Linked DNA regions of Saccharomyces cerevisiae S288C. The gene in region 2 interacts genetically with the main gene of each other region. Each region holds a gene or a part of one and is shown on either strand. Other genes may lie near its edges. The genes, in order: AVO2, YOR1, HXK1 and UBC8.

What was found.
Region 1: mutations in YOR1 (region 2) and AVO2 together harm fitness more than expected from each alone (negative genetic interaction), as found in Saccharomyces cerevisiae (2 studies listed by BioGRID).
Region 3: mutations in YOR1 (region 2) and HXK1 together harm fitness more than expected from each alone (negative genetic interaction), as found in Saccharomyces cerevisiae (2 studies listed by BioGRID).
Region 4: mutations in YOR1 (region 2) and UBC8 together harm fitness more than expected from each alone (negative genetic interaction), as found in Saccharomyces cerevisiae (2 studies listed by BioGRID).

Annotation. Positions count from the first base shown.
Region 1 is NC_001145.3:402,741-408,084, forward strand, and holds AVO2 (Avo2p), read left to right. Parts: upstream 1-3,563; coding exon 3,564-4,844; downstream 4,845-5,344. Other genes in the region: SOV1 (Sov1p), read left to right, coding at 1-1,497; UBX4 (Ubx4p), read right to left, coding at 1,583-2,833; NAT4 (N-terminal L-serine N(alpha)-acetyltransferase NatD), read left to right, coding at 4,969-5,344. UniProt on the Saccharomyces cerevisiae protein: Component of TORC2, which regulates cell cycle-dependent polarization of the actin-cytoskeleton and cell wall integrity.
Region 2 is NC_001139.9:1,050,467-1,058,715, forward strand, and holds YOR1 (ATP-binding cassette transporter YOR1), read left to right. Parts: upstream 1-2,357; coding exon 2,358-6,791; downstream 6,792-8,249. Other genes in the region: PXR1 (telomerase inhibitor), read right to left, coding at 444-1,259; BGL2 (glucan 1,3-beta-glucosidase), read right to left, coding at 7,317-8,249. UniProt on the Saccharomyces cerevisiae protein: Functions as a pleiotropic drug pump at the plasma membrane to clear toxic substances from the cytosol. Organic anion transporter involved in the detoxification of a wide range of toxic environmental organic anions that contain carboxyl groups.
Region 3 is NC_001138.5:253,092-258,712, forward strand, and holds HXK1 (hexokinase 1), read right to left. Parts: upstream 1,959-5,621; coding exon 501-1,958; downstream 1-500. Other genes in the region: proteasome regulatory particle lid subunit RPN12, read left to right, coding at 1-238. UniProt on the Saccharomyces cerevisiae protein: Catalyzes the phosphorylation of hexose, such as D-glucose and D-fructose, to hexose 6-phosphate (D-glucose 6-phosphate and D-fructose 6-phosphate, respectively).
Region 4 is NC_001137.3:128,628-133,059, forward strand, and holds UBC8 (E2 ubiquitin-conjugating protein UBC8), read left to right. Parts: upstream 1-3,144; coding exon 3,145-3,149; intron 3,150-3,272; coding exon 3,273-3,924; downstream 3,925-4,432. Other genes in the region: protein anchor VAC8, read left to right, coding at 198-1,934. UniProt on the Saccharomyces cerevisiae protein: Catalyzes the covalent attachment of ubiquitin to other proteins. Required for the adaptation to the presence of glucose in the growth medium; mediates the degradation of enzymes involved in gluconeogenesis when cells are shifted to glucose-containing medium.

The DNA.
Region 1 (5,344 bases), on a different chromosome or scaffold from region 2:
CATGATTATATCAGCATTGTTGATTTCCATCTTTATAAGAGAAATATTCCCATGGCGGCTCAACTTATCAGCAAGTACATGGAAATACCTGGAACGACACAAGAAGATGCCGCATTTCTACTTGTTAAAACCAAGCTAAATATGTTGAAAGATTTTGAAAAGCTACGAAACATTTTTGCTCAAAATAAAGATTATGTAGTGCCTGAGAATAATGTGAAAATGTTGCAAGAGGCATTTGAGAGCGTTATTACTAAGTATAACACTAATTCTCCAATATACAATGAATTGCTGTTTGAGAATGTTTCGGCCTTAACAAAAAGTATTGTATTAACTGATTTTCTGGAAGAGTTCATTACTAAACAGGCTTCTGGACAGTGGATGGAATTAAACAGTGTGTCACGTTCCAGAAAGTTTAATGGCTTGTTGAACATACTTCTCGGTACAGGTGAAGAAGAAAAAGCATATAATATCTTAAAAAAACTAGAAGAAGCCTCAAAGAAATCAAAAACAGATCCAGATTTACTCTATAATCAGTTTTATTCGGAAGTTAATGCATATCATTACGCTAAATTTGTTGAATTTTATAGTCTTCAAATTCAAAATATGAAGGCACAAAATACGCCCTCATTTAGAAAAAAGGAATTTAAGCAGAAAGTGAAGTCACTTTTAAAAAGAATGCAGGAGTCAGAGGTTATCCCAAATGCTGTTTTTTTGAGAGAAATACTCAATTTTTATGATAGCATGTATGACTTTAATTCAAGTTTTGAGATCATCAATCCGCTACTTGAATCCAAACAACAGGTGAGCTCTGAGTCTTCATTATCCACCTCAAACCCTTGCCGATTTTACAACCGTCGCATCATAACAAAACCGCTGTACCACAAGATTTGGTCTGTGTATTGCCATTATTATCATGTTTTACAAAATAATTCTAGGATTTTATCGAAAAAGTCGTCCATTGTAAAGAAATTAATAAAAAGGCAGATAAAGATTCACCCAACTTGTCACCCAAGAGTATTGTTCCAAATGACGGCAGAAAATGGTGAAATTTTGCCAGACAAAACTTTTTCTAAATTAATTGTGTCCACGTTCATGAAAAGCGGGGATTTAGAAGCAATACCTGCCATATTAACGTTTCTAACGAAAAAATTTGACTTGAATATTGATTACGATTTGAGTATGTATATTCTAAAGGGTTTGAAAAGACAATATTTACGAGATATTAGTAACATCAGTAAAGATGCTTGTGAGTACAAGTTACGGAAGGCGGAGCTAATGAATAATGAGTCAATCTTAAAAAACATTCCACAGGGTACAAATCAAGAGAATACAATATCCCATTTGATCAGGGAGATTTTGATCTTTATAAAATGGAAGGAAAAAAGTGATTGTTCTACTTTCTTGATGGTAGAAGATGCTTTTAAAGAATTAGGAACAGAGTTTACTTTACTCGAAGAATTAATAGAAGATGTAAATAAGTTAAAGATAAAAGCCTAAAAAAACGGATGCATTTTATATAATTTTAGCTATACGTGTACATATTTGTAATAAAGTTAAAAGAGGAGACTGTTTAGCTTTGTATTTATTTTTTACTTAATTTCATCCATTTAGGTACTCTATTTAAAGTCTTTTTGATACTTGTAGCGTTATCAGAAGGGCCCTGTGGATTGGATTTATTTATCGTATTAACTGATGGGGTTGTCCTCGTTTCGTGTGTGATTTTTTGTGCGTCTTCCAAAAGATGAGCCTTTATTAATGGGCCATTAGAATTTGAATTTGTTTCAAAAAGCAGCATTGTTTTAGAGCCAAATTCCAGGTCATCCAGTAGCTTCTTATCGTCTTTAGCCAAGGGTTTGAAAGGATGAGATTGGTTTAACGTAAAAGGCATGTTCTCATCGATCAGGAACTGCGACACGACGTTATAAACTGTACGCATGTCTTCATTGGGTTTGAATGCTATTTGAATATGGCTTCTATCGGGGAACTTGACTCTCAGCAAACACTCAGATATAGCCTTATTTTTCTTTGGCAAGTTGTTGGCTGATTGCTCTCTAAGTCTCTTTGTCAAAATAGGACCACCCAAAGTACCAGCCTTCGATGATAACATTTTTTGGTATTTCTTGGCTTGTTCTACTGTCAATTCATAATCTTCTTCATCCTCGATTTGATCCTTGATAACTGCTAATGGCTCATCCGAGGGCAAAAACACAGAAGGTTTATGTAGTTCGTGAGGTGGTAGTGAAGCAACCGTTTCCGGGTTCGTCATCGTAGGGGGAGTTTGTTTTGGGTGAATAGCGCTATTAGCGCTAATGCCCTCAGAATGAGATGTATTATTAAAAATCAATCTAACTGACGAAGGCTCCTGAATCCCTAAATTTTCGAGAGTCAAATTCTCATCCTTAATTGTTTTGAACTCTATTATCTTGGAAAAGACCTGGATCTTAAAATCATCTCCCGCAGCGCCGCTCATCTGTCGCAAGATAGGGGCAATTGGTTGGTCAGATGGCATTTCTTTAACCACGGAATCTCTTCCTGGGATTTGAAACCGTATTTTGATCGTATTGAATGGAATATCTTCGCGGTTGGTCTTATTCGCCACCGGAAAATTACTACTTTTAGATAATTCTAAGTTGACACCCGTTGGTAAGTTTAGAAGCCTCCATGGCAAATCTAATGGCACCGGTTTATCCAAATGTATCAATGACCAGTCGTTTGACGAGGTGTGCAGTTGAAAGAATTGTATGGATTGGTGTAACACATCGTTTAGTGTTGAATTCAACGAAACTTTACATTTGAAAAGTTGGAAGTTATACTTCACGGTAACCATAGGCATTGTATTGTGCGCTTATTAGTCTGCCTTGCTATTCTTCGCAGTACGTAGATTTATCTTAGTTTTTGCATTTTTTGGTTTTCTTTTTTTTTTGCCACACATAGTACAATAAAAGAGAACTTGAATCTTTGAAGAAACGTCTAAATTAACATCGAAGATAGAAGACAGGGAAACATCTAGGATTGCAAGAAATAGTGCTGAAATTTTGTAATAAAGTTGCAAGAAATAGCATCTAGCGTTTTATAAGGCGTACATCTTTCTTGGCAAGAGTTCCAAGAGAAAAGAGGAGCAAAACAGCGGTTGAGGCGCCCGCTATCTTGAATATTATACAGTTTCTTTAAAAACGCTTGTACAACACTGCATAAACATGGACAAATTATTGAAATTGTTTCAAGATATTTCCCATATCATATTCCAATAGCGTTACTCTCTCATCGCTTATTCTGGAATCATTATTTTAATAAAGATAACTCACACGATATACGTGTACTGAGCTGACCTTTATACCTACCCTTACCTGCTTATTCCTGATAAAAATGTTCGTGCAACTAATTGTTTGATTTCTCTTGCGGCCCGGTTATTCCGGAGTTGATACTTTTTTTCTTCTGTCTTAATTACGTTTTTTTCCTCTAGACTTTTTTGATCTGGTACAATTGAAAATGTATAAATCAACTGGACCCTAAAAATAAAAAAAAAAAACGCCCATTAGAAAAGAGGATATATTGAACAAAAGATGTTGAAAGAGCCCTCAGTTCGCTTGCGGGAGGCTATTATTGAAGGCAATTTACTTATAGTGAAAAGATTATTGCGACGGAATCCGGATTTGCTAACCAACATAGACTCAGAGAACGGATGGAGTTCATTACATTACGCCTCATACCATGGAAGATACCTTATATGCGTGTATTTAATTCAGCTGGGGCACGACAAGCATGAACTAATAAAAACCTTTAAAGGAAACACCTGTGTGCATTTAGCATTAATGAAAGGGCACGAGCAAACCTTACATTTACTTTTGCAACAATTTCCGCGATTTATCAACCATCGCGGAGAGAATGGTAGAGCCCCCATCCATATAGCATGTATGAACGATTACTACCAATGTCTGAGTCTGTTGATAGGAGTTGGTGCTGATTTATGGGTAATGGACACTAATGGCGACACGCCGCTGCATGTATGCCTGGAGTATGGCAGTATAAGTTGTATGAAGATGCTTCTCAATGAAGGTGAGGTGTCCTTGGATGATAATGTCAGGGACAAGGGAAATTGGAAGCCAATAGATGTAGCACAAACGTTTGAAGTAGGTAATATATATTCAAAAGTGTTAAAAGAGGTGAAAAAGAAGGGGCCACCGTTGGGTGCAGGCAAAAAACCAAGTTCATTCAGAACTCCTATACTAAATGCGAAGGCCACTTTCGAGGACGGGCCTTCCCCAGTTTTAAGCATGAATTCGCCATATTCGCTCTATTCCAATAATAGTCCGTTGCCGGTATTACCAAGAAGGATATCAACGCATACAACAAGCGGTAACGGTGGGAATCGGAGGAGTTCTATCACAAATCCAGTATTCAACCCACGAAAACCAACCTTGTCTACGGACAGTTTTTCGTCAAGCTCAAATTCCAGCTCGAGACTAAGAGTGAACTCCATCAACGTCAAGACTCCAGTAGGTGTGTCGCCCAAGAAAGAGCTTGTATCTGAATCAGTACGACACAGTGCAACACCAACAAGTCCGCACAACAACATCGCGTTGATTAATAGATACTTGTTGCCTAACAAGAGCAATGACAACGTGAGAGGAGACTCACAGACAGCTACAATCAACGATGACGGTGGCGGCGGCAATGGCGGTGATGCCACTATAGGAATGGGACTAAGAAAGGACCCGGACGATGAGAACGAGAACAAGTACAAGATTAAGGTAAACAATGGCGAGCCGAGGAGACGAGTGTCACTTCTGAACATACCCATCTCAAAATTAAGAAATAGCAATAACACGCGTGCAGAAGATTGAGAAGACTACTACGTATTTTTTTTTATATGCATCCTTTTTTCCACATATGTATGCGCGGTGCGCGCGCGCCATTAAAAGATTTTTTTCTTAGCTCTTTTTCTTTTTTCTTTTTCTTTCCACTGAGATGCGTTCTTCGGTATATAGTGAGAACACTTACAACTGTATACGAACATCGAAGGAGCACCTAACAGAAAGAAGGAGGGTCGCCATGGCGCCAATGTTCCAACATTTCTTAAACTTATGCGTGGAAAAATTTCCTGAATCCATCGAGCACAAGGATACAGATGGAAACGGTAACTTCACCACCGCTATTTTAGAAAGGGAGATTATCTACATCCCCGAAGATGACACTGACAGTATTGACAGCGTTGACAGCCTCAAGTGTATAAACTACAAGCTGCACAAATCTCGCGGCGACCAAGTGCTGGACGCCTGTGTGCAATTGATAGACAAGCACCTGGGCGCCAAGTATCGCCGGGCCTCGCGCATTATGTACGGCA
Region 2 (8,249 bases):
CGGGCTAGGCATCTTGATTCTTTCCCAAAATGGAGTTAACGAGCTCGATTGGGCGTTAATTGATGGATTTGGTTACACTGATACGAATTGAGCCCGTTTATCATTCATGCAGCGGCTTTATGGAGGGTGTGGAAGACGTTAGCGATGTTATGCTTTCCACTTGCTCTACTATCTTCCATCAAACCCACCTAATAAAGCTGAAGGTTTTGCAGGGGCAGAAGTCGTGGCGCAATAAGTTCAATAAATACTTATAATATTACTTACTAGTTTAATCATGTATGTAAAAACTCGTTGCGGTATGCTGTCGTACTGGCACACATTTTTTTTTTTCATTTTTATTTGCTTTTTTCTTTGGCACCGGGGAAGAATTTTTCCCCACTCTATATATCTTGCTGCGTGTGCAGACTGGCCAGCTGCTCACACAATGAAACGCAATGGAATGTTTAGTCGTTTGTTATCATAAAGATCTCATTCAGTGCCTTGGAGTCCATCAACGCGGCCCTCTTTTGTTTTATCCATTTGGAGCGCACCGATAGTCTTGTGTTTACCGCATCGGGGATATTGGATGCAGATTCACTAGATTTTAATTTTGACGTCTTTTTCGTTTCTTTGGTCTTTTCCGCCCTTTTTTCCTTCTTCAATCTCTTCTCTTCCTTTTTATGTTTCTTATGCTCCTTTTTGTCCTTCTTGTCTTTTTTCTTGTCTTTCTTATGCTTTTTGTGCTTCTTGTGCTTCTTTTTATCACTGTCTTTATCCTCTTTGTCGTCATCATCTTCATCTTCGCTATCGTCTCCTTCCCTCTTTCGTTTCTTCGCGTTGGAGTAATTTCTTAACTTGTGAGTCTTTGGATCCCACGTGCTTGCTAAAACTTCACCCTTCACAAAATGGATACCCCATTTTCCGTCAATAATCTTCTGCTTTCTCTGCGTGTCCAATTCCTCTGATATTTTGCTTTCCTTTCCGTTCAGCCTACCAAGAATTCGCTGGAAGACATCCAACCCTGCGCATTCACCATTATCAAACTCGTCTTTTTTGTCTTTACGTTTTAATTTAGCACCGAGCCCAACGTTGTCGTCCTTAATTGACACTTTGATATGCGAAGTGTTCGAATTCATGGGGGATAACCCCAGACCCATACCGGGTTTCCATCCAAACTTTTCTAGAAATTGGTGCCCGAATCTCGAGGTGTCGTTACTCCATGCCGTATTTCTGGGGTCTAAACCAAACCGCTGTTTGGTTCTTGTAGCTGCCAAACCCATTCTGCTTCTTTGTTTAATGGTGTAAGCTGCCTATATGTTACTATTGAGTACTCATCTCATCGCTTCTTTCAGAACAAAATTTTTCATATTTTTTTTTTTTCCTTTTCTTTTTTTTTTTTTCTTTGACTGTTACCCGGTTGTTTATATTTGTAGGAAAACAACAACGACAGAGAAAATATCCTTGCAGTGGCGGCTAATTTGTTAGTTGACTGATTGATCACCTTCACTTATTAAAGTAAAATCAGCATACAAGAGATCAGAAGGGAGAAAGAGAGTGGGCAAGGCTATAGTACTTTGAAGAAAGCATCTTTGAACCGACCAGTTCTCTTCACAAGCAAAATCTATATGACTAACCGCAAGGGGCAAAGGGTTGTGAGAGGGCCCGTCTTTCTCCCGCTATAGCCGTCACTGGTATCCCTCCTGGCTGCACAAATCCGATAGAAAGGGGAAGAAGGAAGTTTAGTGCCACCTTATAGCACGCAGTTACTGTTTACGCTAAGGAGAGGCATACTCAATTTTTATTAGTCGCCTTCTTTAGTTGCTGCGTTTTTATCCACGGTTCTCTACTAAATGCTTGCGATAAGCGCTTCTATTTTCCTCCCCACCGCGAGGCGGAAATGGCACATTTTTTTTCTTTTGCTTCTGTGCTTTTGTTGTAATTTTTGGCATGTGCTATTGTATGAAGATAACGCGTGGTTCCGTGGAAATAGCCGGAAATTTTGCCGGGAATATGACGGACATGATTTAACACCCGTGGAAATGAAAAAAGCCAAGGTAAGAAAGTGGCAATATTTTTCCTACAAATAGATCTGCTGTCCCTTAAATGATTACCATACATATATATATTTATTACACATCTGTCAGAGGTAGCTAGCGAAGGTGTCACTGAAATATTTTTTGTTCCAGTTAGTATAAATACGGAGGTAGAACAGCTCTCCGCGTGTATATCTTTTTTTGCGCTATACAAGAACAGGAAGAACGCATTTCCATACCTTTTTCTCCTTACAGGTGCCCTCTGAGTAGTGTCACGAACGAGGAAAAAGATTAATATTACTGTTTTTATATTCAAAAAGAGTAAAGCCGTTGCTATATACGAATATGACGATTACCGTGGGGGATGCAGTTTCGGAGACGGAGCTGGAAAACAAAAGTCAAAACGTGGTACTATCTCCCAAGGCATCTGCTTCTTCAGACATAAGCACAGATGTTGATAAGGACACATCGTCTTCTTGGGATGACAAATCTTTGCTGCCTACAGGTGAATATATTGTGGACAGAAATAAGCCCCAAACCTACTTGAATAGCGATGATATCGAAAAAGTGACAGAATCTGATATTTTCCCTCAGAAACGTCTGTTTTCATTCTTGCACTCTAAGAAAATTCCAGAAGTACCACAAACCGATGACGAGAGGAAGATATATCCTCTGTTCCATACAAATATTATCTCTAACATGTTTTTTTGGTGGGTTCTACCCATCCTGCGAGTTGGTTATAAGAGAACGATACAGCCGAACGATCTCTTCAAAATGGATCCGAGGATGTCTATAGAGACCCTTTATGACGACTTTGAAAAAAACATGATTTACTATTTTGAGAAGACGAGGAAAAAATACCGTAAAAGACATCCAGAAGCGACAGAAGAAGAGGTTATGGAAAATGCCAAACTACCTAAACATACAGTTCTGAGAGCTTTATTATTCACTTTTAAGAAACAGTACTTCATGTCGATAGTGTTTGCAATTCTCGCTAATTGTACATCCGGTTTTAACCCCATGATTACCAAGAGGCTAATTGAGTTTGTCGAAGAAAAGGCTATTTTTCATAGCATGCATGTTAACAAAGGTATTGGTTACGCTATTGGTGCATGTTTGATGATGTTCGTTAACGGGTTGACGTTCAACCATTTCTTTCATACATCCCAACTGACTGGTGTGCAAGCTAAGTCTATTCTTACTAAAGCTGCCATGAAGAAAATGTTTAATGCATCTAATTATGCGAGACATTGTTTTCCTAACGGTAAAGTGACTTCTTTTGTAACAACAGATCTCGCTAGAATTGAATTTGCCTTATCTTTTCAGCCGTTTTTGGCTGGGTTCCCTGCAATTTTGGCTATTTGCATTGTTTTATTGATCGTTAACCTTGGACCCATTGCCTTAGTTGGGATTGGTATTTTTTTCGGTGGGTTTTTCATATCCTTATTTGCATTTAAGTTAATTCTGGGCTTTAGAATTGCTGCGAACATCTTCACTGATGCTAGAGTTACCATGATGAGAGAAGTGCTGAATAATATAAAAATGATTAAATATTATACGTGGGAGGATGCGTATGAAAAAAATATTCAAGATATTAGGACCAAAGAGATTTCTAAAGTTAGAAAAATGCAACTATCAAGAAATTTCTTGATTGCTATGGCCATGTCTTTGCCTAGTATTGCTTCATTGGTCACTTTCCTTGCAATGTACAAAGTTAATAAAGGAGGCAGGCAACCTGGTAATATTTTTGCCTCTTTATCTTTATTTCAGGTCTTGAGTTTGCAAATGTTTTTCTTACCTATTGCTATTGGTACTGGAATTGACATGATCATTGGATTGGGCCGTTTGCAAAGCTTATTGGAGGCTCCAGAAGATGATCCAAATCAGATGATTGAAATGAAGCCTTCTCCTGGCTTTGATCCAAAATTGGCTTTAAAAATGACACATTGCTCATTTGAGTGGGAAGATTATGAATTAAACGACGCTATTGAAGAAGCAAAAGGAGAAGCTAAAGATGAAGGTAAAAAGAACAAAAAAAAGCGTAAGGATACATGGGGTAAGCCATCTGCAAGTACTAATAAGGCGAAAAGATTGGACAATATGTTGAAAGACAGAGACGGCCCGGAAGATTTAGAAAAAACTTCGTTTAGGGGTTTCAAGGACTTGAACTTCGATATTAAAAAGGGCGAATTTATTATGATTACGGGACCTATTGGTACTGGTAAATCTTCATTATTGAATGCGATGGCAGGATCAATGAGAAAAACTGATGGTAAGGTTGAAGTCAACGGGGACTTATTAATGTGTGGTTATCCATGGATTCAAAATGCATCTGTAAGAGATAACATCATATTCGGTTCACCATTCAATAAAGAAAAGTATGATGAAGTAGTTCGTGTTTGCTCTTTGAAAGCTGATCTGGATATTTTACCGGCAGGCGATATGACCGAAATTGGGGAACGTGGTATTACTTTATCTGGTGGTCAAAAGGCACGTATCAATTTAGCCAGGTCTGTTTATAAGAAGAAGGATATTTATCTATTCGACGATGTCCTAAGTGCTGTCGATTCTCGTGTTGGTAAACACATCATGGATGAATGTCTAACCGGAATGCTTGCTAATAAAACCAGAATTTTAGCAACGCATCAATTGTCACTGATTGAGAGAGCTTCTAGAGTCATCGTTTTAGGTACTGATGGCCAAGTCGATATTGGTACTGTTGATGAGCTAAAAGCTCGTAATCAAACTTTGATAAATCTTTTACAATTCTCTTCTCAAAATTCGGAGAAAGAGGATGAAGAACAGGAAGCGGTTGTTGCCGGTGAATTGGGACAACTAAAATATGAATCAGAGGTAAAGGAATTGACTGAACTGAAGAAAAAGGCTACAGAAATGTCACAAACTGCAAATAGTGGTAAAATTGTAGCGGATGGTCATACTAGTAGTAAAGAAGAAAGAGCAGTCAATAGTATCAGTCTGAAAATATACCGTGAATACATTAAAGCTGCAGTAGGTAAGTGGGGTTTTATCGCACTACCGTTGTATGCAATTTTAGTCGTTGGAACCACATTCTGCTCACTTTTTTCTTCCGTTTGGTTATCTTACTGGACTGAGAATAAATTCAAAAACAGACCACCCAGTTTTTATATGGGTCTTTACTCCTTCTTTGTGTTTGCTGCTTTCATATTCATGAATGGCCAGTTCACCATACTTTGCGCAATGGGTATTATGGCATCGAAATGGTTAAATTTGAGGGCTGTGAAAAGAATTTTACACACTCCAATGTCATACATAGATACCACACCTTTGGGACGTATTCTGAACAGATTCACAAAAGATACAGATAGCTTAGATAATGAGTTAACCGAAAGTTTACGGTTGATGACATCTCAATTTGCTAATATTGTAGGTGTTTGCGTCATGTGTATTGTTTACTTGCCGTGGTTTGCTATCGCAATTCCGTTTCTTTTGGTCATCTTTGTTCTGATTGCTGATCATTATCAGAGTTCTGGTAGAGAAATTAAAAGACTTGAAGCTGTGCAACGGTCTTTTGTTTACAATAATTTAAATGAAGTTTTGGGTGGGATGGATACAATCAAAGCATACCGAAGTCAGGAACGATTTTTGGCGAAATCAGATTTTTTGATCAACAAGATGAATGAGGCGGGATACCTTGTAGTTGTCCTGCAAAGATGGGTAGGTATTTTCCTTGATATGGTTGCTATCGCATTTGCACTAATTATTACGTTATTGTGTGTTACGAGAGCCTTTCCTATTTCCGCGGCTTCAGTTGGTGTTTTGTTGACTTATGTATTACAATTGCCTGGTCTATTAAATACCATTTTAAGGGCAATGACTCAAACAGAGAATGACATGAATAGTGCCGAAAGATTGGTAACATATGCAACTGAACTACCACTAGAGGCATCCTATAGAAAGCCCGAAATGACACCTCCAGAGTCATGGCCCTCAATGGGCGAAATAATTTTTGAAAATGTTGATTTTGCCTATAGACCTGGTTTACCTATAGTTTTAAAAAATCTTAACTTGAATATCAAGAGTGGGGAAAAAATTGGTATCTGTGGTCGTACAGGTGCTGGTAAGTCCACTATTATGAGTGCCCTTTACAGGTTGAATGAATTGACCGCAGGTAAAATTTTAATTGACAATGTTGATATAAGTCAGCTGGGACTTTTCGATTTAAGAAGAAAATTAGCCATCATTCCACAAGATCCAGTATTATTTAGGGGTACGATTCGCAAGAACTTAGATCCATTTAATGAGCGTACAGATGACGAATTATGGGATGCATTGGTGAGAGGTGGTGCTATCGCCAAGGATGACTTGCCGGAAGTGAAATTGCAAAAACCTGATGAAAATGGTACTCATGGTAAAATGCATAAGTTCCATTTAGATCAAGCAGTGGAAGAAGAGGGCTCCAATTTCTCCTTAGGTGAGAGACAACTATTAGCATTAACAAGGGCATTGGTCCGCCAATCAAAAATATTGATTTTGGATGAGGCTACATCCTCAGTGGACTACGAAACGGATGGCAAAATCCAAACACGTATTGTTGAGGAATTTGGAGATTGTACAATTTTGTGTATTGCTCACAGACTGAAGACCATTGTAAATTATGATCGTATTCTTGTTTTAGAGAAGGGTGAAGTCGCAGAATTCGATACACCATGGACGTTGTTTAGTCAAGAAGATAGTATTTTCAGAAGCATGTGTTCTAGATCTGGTATTGTGGAAAATGATTTCGAGAACAGAAGTTAATTTATATTATTTGTTGCATGATTTTTCTCTTTTATTTATTTATATGTTGCCGATGGTACAAATTAGTACTAGAAAAGAAAACCCACTACTATGACTTGCAGAAAAAGTTATGTGTGCCATAGATAGATATAATTGCATACCCACATTGTATACTCAAAATTCCGAAAAGAACATTTCATTTTTTATGAGGCAAACTGGACAACGCCTTCGGTCCTTTTTCATTCTAGAAATATATATTTATACATCATTTTCAGAAGATATTCAAAGAACTTATTGGGATGTCTGTTTACTGAATAAAGTATACACAAAATACGAATTTAAAATGGAAGGCATAAAATAGAAAACTTAGAAGTGAAAATCCTAAAACCGAAGGATATTTCAAATACGTAAAAGAAGTGAAAGATAAAATAAAGCCTAAATAAGGAAGAAAAGAAGGGATAACATTTTTTTTTGTTACTTTTTGCTTATTCCTCACCTAAACAGAAGGAAAAAGCCATTCTTGTTTAAAGAGTATTTTTAAAGCGTTCATGAAAAGTCACAGTCCAAGGAGTATTTCAAATTGTCACTTGAAGTGAAAACACCCCAGTGCTTCTCGACATCAGAGGTACCAGAGGTGTTTGGCTTCCAATCTTCATCAAAGGCTTCAAAAACAATAACGTTAACACCCCAAGCTCTCATGGAACAGATACCTTCTTTCCAGAATTGTTTGGCGTTGTCAACAGATGGGTAAGAACTTTCAAAGTTGGTACCATCAGTTGGCCAACCGGTCTCACCAACCCAGAAGGTAATATCGGTAGAACCTTTAGTAGATTGGATAACCTGTAGAGCTTGCATAATATCATCAAAGAATGAGTAAGAGGCATTTTGCATGGTTTGACCTTGCCAGTAGGAGAACGCGTTAGCCATAACAAAATCGGAAGCTTCGATAACGGCAGAATTGTAACCAGCAACCAAAACATTCCAGGAATCGACAGTACCGACTTGCTTACCAGAGTATGACTTTCCGTCAGAATCGGAAATGTCAGCAACGACACTACGGACGTCATTAATTTTGTCTGATAATTGAGAGGCAGTCAAATCGTTACGGTATAAGGCTTCAGAACCAACCAAGAAACCAGCAACAGTGGATTCTTTAATTTTTGGCAAATAGGTTTGCAAAGCAGCCTTTTCAGCAGCGTAATGACTGTCGTCTGTTGGCCAAACACCGACAAAGATAGTAAATCCCTCAGCTTCAGCAGCAGGACCTAAGTTTTGCAAAGTGTTACAATCTGAGGCAGCGTAAACTTTGACGGTGGAAGTGTAGCTCTTCAAAGCTTGTAATTCGGTTTCATAGTCGGAAGTGGACTTACAAGTACCATCGTTGTTCTTGACACCCAAGTTAAAGGCTAGTTCACCAATAGCTGAAACTTGGGAGGCTGTGAAAAATAGCGCAGTAGCTGCAGTAGCGAGTGTAGTAGA
Region 3 (5,621 bases), on a different chromosome or scaffold from region 2:
CTACGACTTTCTCCCTCTCTCCAACATAAAGGCTTTGCTCTTTTTCAACAACGAAAAAGAAACTGAAAAATTTGCACTAGAGAGAAACTGGCCTATTGTCAACTCGAAAGTTTACTTCAATAACCAATCAAAGGAGAAAGCTGATTACGAAGATGAAATGATGCATGAAGAAGACCAAAAGACAAACATTATCGAAAAAGCAATGGATTATGCCATAAGTATTGAAAATATTGTGTAATATTTGTATATATAATATGTGCACAAAATTACTACAAAATAAACAACTTTTTCTCTCCCGGAGAACAAAGTAAGTGGAAAAAATTATACTAATAACAATCTAAAAATGTTTATTAGCTAGGATTATACACATAAATATATATATATGTGTGTGTCTATATTTACATATACTAGACCGCAAAAAAAACATAAGGGCATCACTCATAAGAATAATAATATTAAGGGAGGGAAAAACACATTTATATTTCATTACATTTTTTTCATTAAGCGCCAATGATACCAAGAGACTTACCTTCGGCAATTCTTTTTTCGGACAATGCAGCAATAACAGCAGCACCTGCACCTGAACCATCCTCAGCTGGAACAATCGTAATTGGATCTTTGCTTGCGTCACCAGTCCATCCATAGATATCTCTCAAACCCTTAGCGGCGGCTTCCTTGAAACCTGGGTATTTGTTATAGACAGAACCGTCAGCGGCAATGTGACCAGTCTTGTAACCTCTCTTTTGGCAAATAGCGGCAATACCACAAACAGCTAATCTAGCAGCTCTGGTACCGATCAATTCACAAAGTCTTCTAATCAACTTACGTTCTGGCAGAGTGGTCTTGACACCAAAGTCCTTTTGGAAGATGTCATCAGTATCTTCCAAGTTTTCAAATGGATCATCCTCGATTCTTGCTGGGTAGGAGGTATCCATGATGTATGGTTGTTTCAACTTGCTTAGATCTTGATCCTTCAACATCAAGCCCTTCTCGTTTAATTCAAGTAACACTAGACGCAACAATTCACCCAAGTAGTAACCGGAGGTCATCTTTTCAAAAGCTTGTTGACCAGGTCTTGGAGATTGTTCGTCGACAGCAACATCGTACTTGGTTCTTGGCAAGACCAAATGTTCATTATCGAAGGAACCATATTCACAATTGATAGCCATTGGAGAGTTACTTGGAATATCGTCTGCTAATTTGCCCTCCAACTTTTCGATATCGGAAACAACATCATAGAAAGCACCGTTGACACCAGTACCGAAAATCACACCCATCTTAGTCTCTGGGTCAGTGTAGTATGAGGCAATTAAAGTACCAACAGTATCATTAATCAATGCTACAATTTCAATAGGCAACTCTCTCTTGGAAATTTCGTTTTGTAGCAATGGGACGACATCGTGGCCTTCGACATTTGGAATATCGAAACCCTTGGTCCATCTTTGCAAAATACCTTCGTTAATCTTGTTTTGGGAAGCTGGGTACGAGAAGGTGAAACCTAATGGTAAGGTGTCCTTGGTGTTTAGCAATTCTTGCTCGACCATAAAGTCCTTCAAAGAGTCGGCAATAAAGGACCATAACTCCTCTTGGTGCTTAGTGGTTCTCATGTCATGTGGTAGTTTATACTTGGATTGAGTGGTGTCAAAGGTATGGTTACCGCTCAACTTGACCAACACGACTCTTAAGTTAGTACCACCCAAATCAATGGCCAAATAGTTACCAGATTCTTTACCTGTTGGGAATTCCATGACCCAACCGGGAATCATTGGAATGTTACCTCCCTTCTTTGTCAAACCTTTATTCAATTCGTCGATAAAGTGCTTAACAACCTTTCTCAAGGTCTCGCTGTCAACTGTAAACATATCTTCCAACTGATGAATTTCATCCATCAATTCCTTGGGCACATCAGCCATGGAACCCTTTCTAGCCTGTGGTTTCTTTGGACCTAAATGAACCATCTTATTTTTTCAGTATTCTAATTGAGTTGTTTGGGTGAGTTTGATTAAAAGAAAAGAATTCTAATTGAGTATTGCAAGCCACAATTGTTTCTTATTGCTCTTCTGCTATATATTGCGCTAAGAGAAAGAGAAGAATACAAGATGAAGGAACGGTAGAATATTCCCAAGGAAGTGAAACCGATTGCTTATATACGAAATATTCCTCTTTAAAGAAAAGGAGGAAACAGAAGCAGTTGAGAACAATCTTTGTTGCGTTCACTTGTTACTATTCCTCTCAACGGTCCTAAGGTACCAAAATCCGGGGGGAGAAAGAAACTTTTTCTTTTCATCAACCCCTTAAAAAAAAATGCATAGTTCTTAGGTCTTCCATTTTTTCTTTTGTTGGTTTTTGCAACCAGAGTATTTTTCCTGGTTGCTCCAGTAAGGTATTTCGCTATCTTCCAACAAACGGGGCACACGTGCGGGAGTTTCAAAGGGGCAGAATAGTGGGGTTCAGGGGCATAAGAAGCTCACACAATGCGGAAAAACAAAAGGGGACTGCCATTCTTCCTGAAACCCACGCGTCACTGCTATACTGAGATCTGGCCAGGGGCAACCAGTATACTTAGTGGATAAACGACAGGAACACGTACTCCTTAAAAGCGTCTAAATCTTCATTTTTCCGGTTTATTTCCAACCGGGAAATAAATTATTCCTAATAAAATTTCCGGGGTTTGCAGGATGCGGGGTAAAAGTAAAAAAATGAAAAAGATGTAAAAAGAAAAGTTCGAGGTAAGACCAGGTGCAAGGAGAATACTGGGCGCCAATGCTTTTACTGCAGCGAAGAAAAATTCTAACCGTCTGTTTCGGTTGCTAATTTTTGTCTTACTTTCGATGGTTAGGCTTCGTGGGGTAAAAGTCGAGCTTGTTTTCTGAAGCGGAAATTACAGCAGTTTGCTAGGTGAGTTTTAACTTTCCTAGTTGCATCCCATGGTCTAGATAATCACCCCACCCCACGCCATTCTTTTTTTGCAACACGGGCTTTGTTCCTGAAACAACTGGCATGGAAGATATTCCGGGGTTGTTTAACAATAAACGTGTAGAGTACAGGTAGAATATAGGCGAAGCCGCGGTGAGCACGGAATCGCGCATGGAAGAAAACACACCAGGTAAGCCTTTGGAACGCCATGTGTAAGGTGCAATGCACATGAGTGATTGTTAAAAACAGAAAAGTAAAAATTCCGATCTTGTCTGGAGGATCAATCGTCCTCTCAGTGCGTTTTCTTGGCGAGACAATTCAATTCGCTTTATGCTCTTTTTTTTTGTGAATTTAGCCAATTCCGGAAAAAACATAAAAAAATGGTTATGCATTCTTTATTTTGAAGAATGAACTAGATATACAGTAATATACTAAATTGTCAGCTCTCGGCATAATTCAATGGCCGGAAAGTAGTACTATTAAAAAGAAGTGCGCTCAAAGAATAACTCCGGGAATAGGTGATGTAGCTTTTGGTGCTGGAAGCGAACCGCTTTCATGTGTTTTGGTCCCGGCTGTAGTGTTCTGCGGAGTTGCACTGGTGCTGTTGGTAGAGATTACGATTTTGGTAAATCCTGGTGTGACGGCTACATCAGTACCTCTAGTTAGACCAAACACTAATTCAATGCCAAAACTTAGACGCCCGATGATATTCCTTGTATATATATTATTATCCGCTATGGGCACAGAAGTATGTTTAACAGTAGCAGAAGCGACTTATGTATGGATGTCCAACAACGAAGATGCCACAAACGTCTTCGTAGTTTTATCCACGGCGCCAGGTCTGGAGAATGGACACCAGGGTACTAAAATCATTAATTGCTCTTCCACCATCCTAACGTTGTTGACATTTAGTGTAGATACTTGGTGAAATATGTGCTTGTGAAAGCGATTGTCCATTCTTTATATATAGTCATGAAAGTAGTTAAAGTGAAGAATATATTAGAAGCTTTGGGTTCAAAAGAGGACGGTGAAGTGGCTCGCTTTGTTAATATATTGATTTATCCGAAACCCGGGAAGCACTCTAGAACTATGCCTTAGCATTTTAGTGGTCGAACTAGCCAGTTTTTCGATTGTTGGATGTGTTGTAATGACGGTATTATTTTTGCTCAATGAGTTAAAAGGCGAAAGCGTCAAATTGTAGGTCAGAATATGACTGACAGAATCAAACTGTCTGACAATTGCACAGGAGGATTGGCCGGAGTAAAATCGTTTAAGGTAGTATAAGCAGGTTGAGCAGACAATTGGCTAGAGCTAGCCATTGAGCCTAAAGAATTGCGAACAAGTCGGATAAGACAAAGGGAACTAATGTACAAGATCTTGTATCCTGAGAAGAGGAAATAAGTACTCAAGAATGGGCCAGAAATAATGTTAGAGTTTATAGGGGTGACAGCCCTTGAGCTAATAAATACTACAATAACAGTGTCCGTTTGAATGCTGGTCGGTGAATCAATCAAAGATTTGGTTGCAATGATATGTGCAATTTTGCTGATGGAGCTTGCTAAAGTTGTGATATTAGTCGAGATCCAATTAGAACGGATTAGGCGGGAATCGCTTGAGGGATCGCCAAAAATACTTGTGATTTGTGTAAGTTGGTTGTAATGCAAACCTGCTATCTTTACTTTCGAACAAAATAGATGAATCAGCGGCTAAGTATTCTGTGGCTAATGTGCTAGATACATGTTGAGTACTGCTATTTGTGCGCAACCGTTCTAACAATGCTGAGAGATGATGAATTGAATATATCAGAAGTTTTACTAGCTACAGTAGTTGAGGTACCAATAGTGGGGGTATGCGAAAATTTACTAAAAGCACTGACTGGAGTTGTGGTACTAGTGAATACCTGGTCCAAATAGGTTATGAAGGAATCATTTGAGAATTGGCTAGAAGCAACTAAAACGCCCGTGGATTGAGGTTCAGATTTGCTACTGTCGCTTTCGAAGAAGCTAGATGAACCACGGGTAAAGTATTCTGCATCTAATGTGTTCAATAAATATTGAGTGACGTTATCGTAATGTTACAGTACTAACACCGCTAGAAAATGCTGGTGTGAATGTGAATGACGATAGACGGACTGATGCACTTTTCCATTGTACGATAACATTACTTACAAGATTGGGAGAAGCATGATTGAAAATTTGACTGGAAGAACCACTTATATTAGGAGTGGCGGTATTAGTAGAAAATTGACTAAACGCATCCGAAAATTAAATAGAATTTAAAGTTTCCTTGGGTGCACTGTTTTGGGCTGCAGTGCTAAAATCCAGAAGTGTTGGAGTCAGGTTACTTGTTTGCATACAGACATTACTGAAGTTTTCAGAAGGCCTTTGAATCGAGAACGAGATAAGGAAGTGTCCTCTAAATGCAATTTTAGAGCTCAAAGTGAGGATAGTGGCACTGAAACTTGATTTAGTTAATGGCCTTTAGATTTGCTGCTGTCTGAAAAGCTCATCATCGAGAAGCTCACAAAATGGAGTTCTAGTTGCCCTTTCACTATACAATCGATGTAAAGATGGCTTATAAGTATTTGAATTGTAAGTTTTGTGCTAGCTGAGGAATCAAAAAATGTATTTAGTGCTTCCTTACTGGTCAATTGTGTATTATTTCCAGATGAAACAGAAAATATGTATTTTATGGATTGACTAATC
Region 4 (4,432 bases), on a different chromosome or scaffold from region 2:
GAGTCTGCTTTGCTTTCTGTTTTTTTTTGTTGACTCGCTGTTCAATCTCCTACTTTTCCTTTTGTTGTTAAAATAAGGTATTATATATTTATACAACCCTATAAAAAGCAATTAGCCAATTTCCAATCCTACGAAGACAGGAACTGAGCAAACTATAAGGGTGTTCTTTCTTCTGTACTATATATACATTTGCAACTATGGGTTCATGTTGTAGTTGCTTGAAAGATTCTTCAGACGAGGCCAGTGTCTCACCAATTGCCGATAATGAAAGAGAAGCGGTGACTTTATTACTAGGGTATTTGGAGGATAAAGACCAATTAGACTTTTACTCTGGTGGTCCACTAAAGGCCCTAACTACTTTGGTGTATTCAGATAATCTAAATTTGCAAAGGAGCGCCGCTCTGGCATTCGCAGAAATTACTGAAAAATACGTCCGTCAGGTCTCTAGAGAGGTACTGGAACCCATCTTAATATTATTACAAAGCCAAGATCCACAGATTCAAGTGGCCGCTTGTGCAGCCTTGGGTAATTTGGCCGTTAATAATGAAAATAAATTATTAATTGTGGAAATGGGAGGCTTAGAGCCATTAATAAACCAAATGATGGGTGACAATGTAGAAGTTCAATGTAATGCTGTTGGATGCATTACCAATTTAGCCACAAGGGATGACAATAAACATAAGATTGCTACTTCTGGTGCTTTAATTCCATTGACTAAGCTAGCTAAATCCAAACATATAAGAGTTCAGAGAAATGCTACAGGTGCATTATTAAATATGACACATTCTGAGGAAAATAGAAAAGAATTGGTTAATGCAGGTGCTGTGCCTGTATTGGTATCTTTACTGTCGTCCACCGATCCTGATGTTCAGTACTATTGTACTACTGCTTTATCAAATATAGCAGTGGATGAAGCCAATCGCAAGAAGTTGGCTCAAACTGAGCCAAGATTGGTTTCCAAATTGGTTAGTCTGATGGATTCTCCATCTTCAAGGGTAAAATGTCAAGCTACTTTGGCTTTACGAAACCTAGCGTCCGATACAAGCTACCAATTAGAAATTGTAAGGGCTGGTGGGTTGCCTCATTTGGTAAAGTTGATTCAAAGTGATTCTATACCACTGGTTTTGGCTAGTGTGGCATGCATTAGAAACATTTCTATTCACCCTCTAAATGAAGGTTTAATTGTTGATGCAGGTTTCTTAAAACCATTAGTAAGATTGTTGGACTATAAGGATTCAGAAGAAATTCAATGTCACGCCGTATCTACTTTGAGAAATTTGGCTGCATCATCTGAAAAAAACAGAAAAGAGTTCTTCGAAAGTGGTGCTGTCGAAAAATGTAAGGAACTGGCTCTAGATTCACCTGTTAGTGTTCAAAGTGAAATTTCCGCATGTTTTGCTATTTTAGCCCTAGCAGATGTCTCCAAATTGGATCTACTGGAAGCAAATATCTTAGATGCTTTAATCCCTATGACTTTTTCCCAGAACCAAGAAGTTTCTGGTAATGCTGCTGCTGCTTTGGCAAATCTATGTTCAAGAGTGAATAATTATACAAAAATTATTGAAGCATGGGATCGTCCGAATGAAGGCATTCGTGGATTTCTGATTAGATTTTTGAAAAGTGACTATGCTACCTTTGAACACATTGCGCTATGGACAATTTTACAATTGCTAGAAAGTCATAATGATAAAGTGGAAGATTTGGTTAAAAATGATGACGACATCATTAACGGAGTGAGAAAAATGGCAGATGTGACCTTTGAGCGTTTACAAAGATCAGGAATTGATGTTAAAAATCCGGGGAGCAACAACAATCCAAGCTCGAATGATAACAACAGTAATAACAATGACACAGGATCTGAACATCAACCTGTAGAGGATGCAAGTTTGGAATTGTATAATATTACTCAACAGATTTTACAATTTTTACATTGATTTTCTTCAAAAGCGGGACTAGGCATTATAATTTTTATCAAAATTTTCTTCTCAGAAGTTTTATTTTCTTTCTCTCCATTTCTTCCATCTTTTTAATCTTTGTTTCCTTTTTTTACATCATATTACTTCTACCTACTCTACTCTATTCTAATTTCAATTGATTTTTTTTATTTTATTTTTTTTTTTGTTAATAAAAGAAGAAAAAACTTAAAAACGAATAAGAGGCTGTCTTTGTTCCGTAGTATATGCCTATTTCCTTCTAGAAGTTTGAAGTGTCGTAAATTTTACCTACGGATAATGTTCGTTACATTGTTGAATGGCAACTGTAGTGAGGTAATGTTCAAAAAGTGAGAAAGCGGGAGAGAAGGGCTACATACAAAAACCAATTCTAGATAACATCTATATCTTCGTTTTTAGAATATATTGTAATAAAACACAATTGATAATACAGTTCTCTCTTCGTCCTCTGATGGTGGGAGATCTATTAAAAATACAAGTTAGCTGAGCGGGGGAAAAAAATAGGTCTTACCCGGATTCGAACCGGGGTTGTTCGGATCAAAACCGAAAGTGATAACCACTACACTATAAAACCTCTTAATTATTGATTTCCACAATAATTTTATCATATATCAACACTATTCTTCACATAGTTTTTTTAATCCCGGTGTCTCTCATCTGCTAATGAAAATACGTTCACTCATATTTCATGCACCTTCCAGTAGACTGACCCTTCATAAGGTTAAGAATATCATGGGGAAATTATCGCAATGCATGTCTCTTAAAGAATACAAGAATATATAAAGGCGAATCAACGATTCTTCACGATAATTTGTTTTCCTCTTAATCACACAGCAGTCTGAATTCTATCAGTGGCACATTAATCCTTGTTTCAATGCTCGTGTGCACATCTGCGTAAATATACATTCTTACGTTTTCTTATTTAATAATAGTAGGTTGAGCTTCGTCCACCGGGTAATGCTCCCGGAGCAGTGGAATTAAAAAAAAAAAGGGTGAGCACCGGAAACAGCTATCTGCGCTTAAGTATCACTAACGTAAAGCATAGGTAGGATTTCCAGTTCTGCCACATTTGATAAATAGTGTAATCCGTAATTATCAAGCGAGATAGTTTTCGAATATAATTTAGAAGTAAGAGCAAAATATTAATAGTATTTCATAAGGAATATTGGAAGAAAGGAGCGTAATACGAAAGATGAGGTATGTTTGATAAGATATATACGTATATTTATATATCACTCTTCTGAGAAAGTATGCCATAGAATGAGGATCACTAACAAAGAAAATGTCAATGAACTTCAAAGATATCGTTTAATGAAACAGTAGCTCTAAAAGAAGGATCGAGACAGATGTTATGAAACTGTTGATGAGTGATCATCAAGTGGATTTAATCAATGATAGCATGCAAGAGTTTCATGTAAAGTTCTTGGGACCAAAGGATACACCCTACGAAAATGGGGTTTGGAGGTTACATGTAGAGTTGCCGGATAATTACCCATACAAGTCGCCAAGCATAGGGTTCGTTAACAAGATATTCCATCCTAACATTGATATCGCATCGGGGTCCATATGTTTGGACGTAATTAACTCTACATGGTCGCCTTTATATGATCTGATAAATATAGTGGAGTGGATGATACCAGGTTTATTAAAGGAGCCTAATGGTAGCGATCCCTTGAATAACGAAGCTGCCACATTGCAATTACGAGATAAAAAACTGTATGAGGAAAAAATCAAAGAGTATATAGACAAGTATGCTACAAAGGAAAAGTACCAACAAATGTTTGGCGGAGATAATGATAGCGATGACAGTGATAGCGGCGGTGATTTACAAGAAGAGGACAGTGATTCTGATGAAGATATGGATGGCACTGGTGTTTCCAGTGGCGATGATAGCGTAGATGAGTTAAGCGAGGATCTAAGTGACATAGATGTCAGTGATGACGATGACTACGACGAAGTCGCAAATCAATAATTTCGAGCACACACATATATATATATATATATATATGTATGTATGTATAAGTATATATGATGGCATACTATACCACACGTACGACTATAATTACAAACAACTATCAAGCAACTACAAGGATCTCTGTGGGCTAGTGGCCTGCGGGCTCAATTTTGCTCTTGTTCCTGAACGGTGAATTCTGTAGTCTGTCATCCAGGGGAAGGGCAGGGCACTCATCAACAATGTGATAGTCAGAAAGCAATAATGTTTTGTATTCTGATGAGCTTTCACTATCTCTTCCGCAATACCCCTTTTTGCCTATATTACGGCATCATCTTTCCCCGCGTTCTCGTGGGGGCCAAATAAGCTTTGTCCAAGGGGCTGTTGCAACGGTAAAGGTAGTCGAGCCAAGTGACACCAGCAAACAAGGAAACAAGGAAGCAAGGAAGGCTTTCCATTTTCCAATAACGACATGAGTCTATCTATGGTGTATAAAAGTGGCAGGCTTTTCCTACATTTTTTTTCCCTG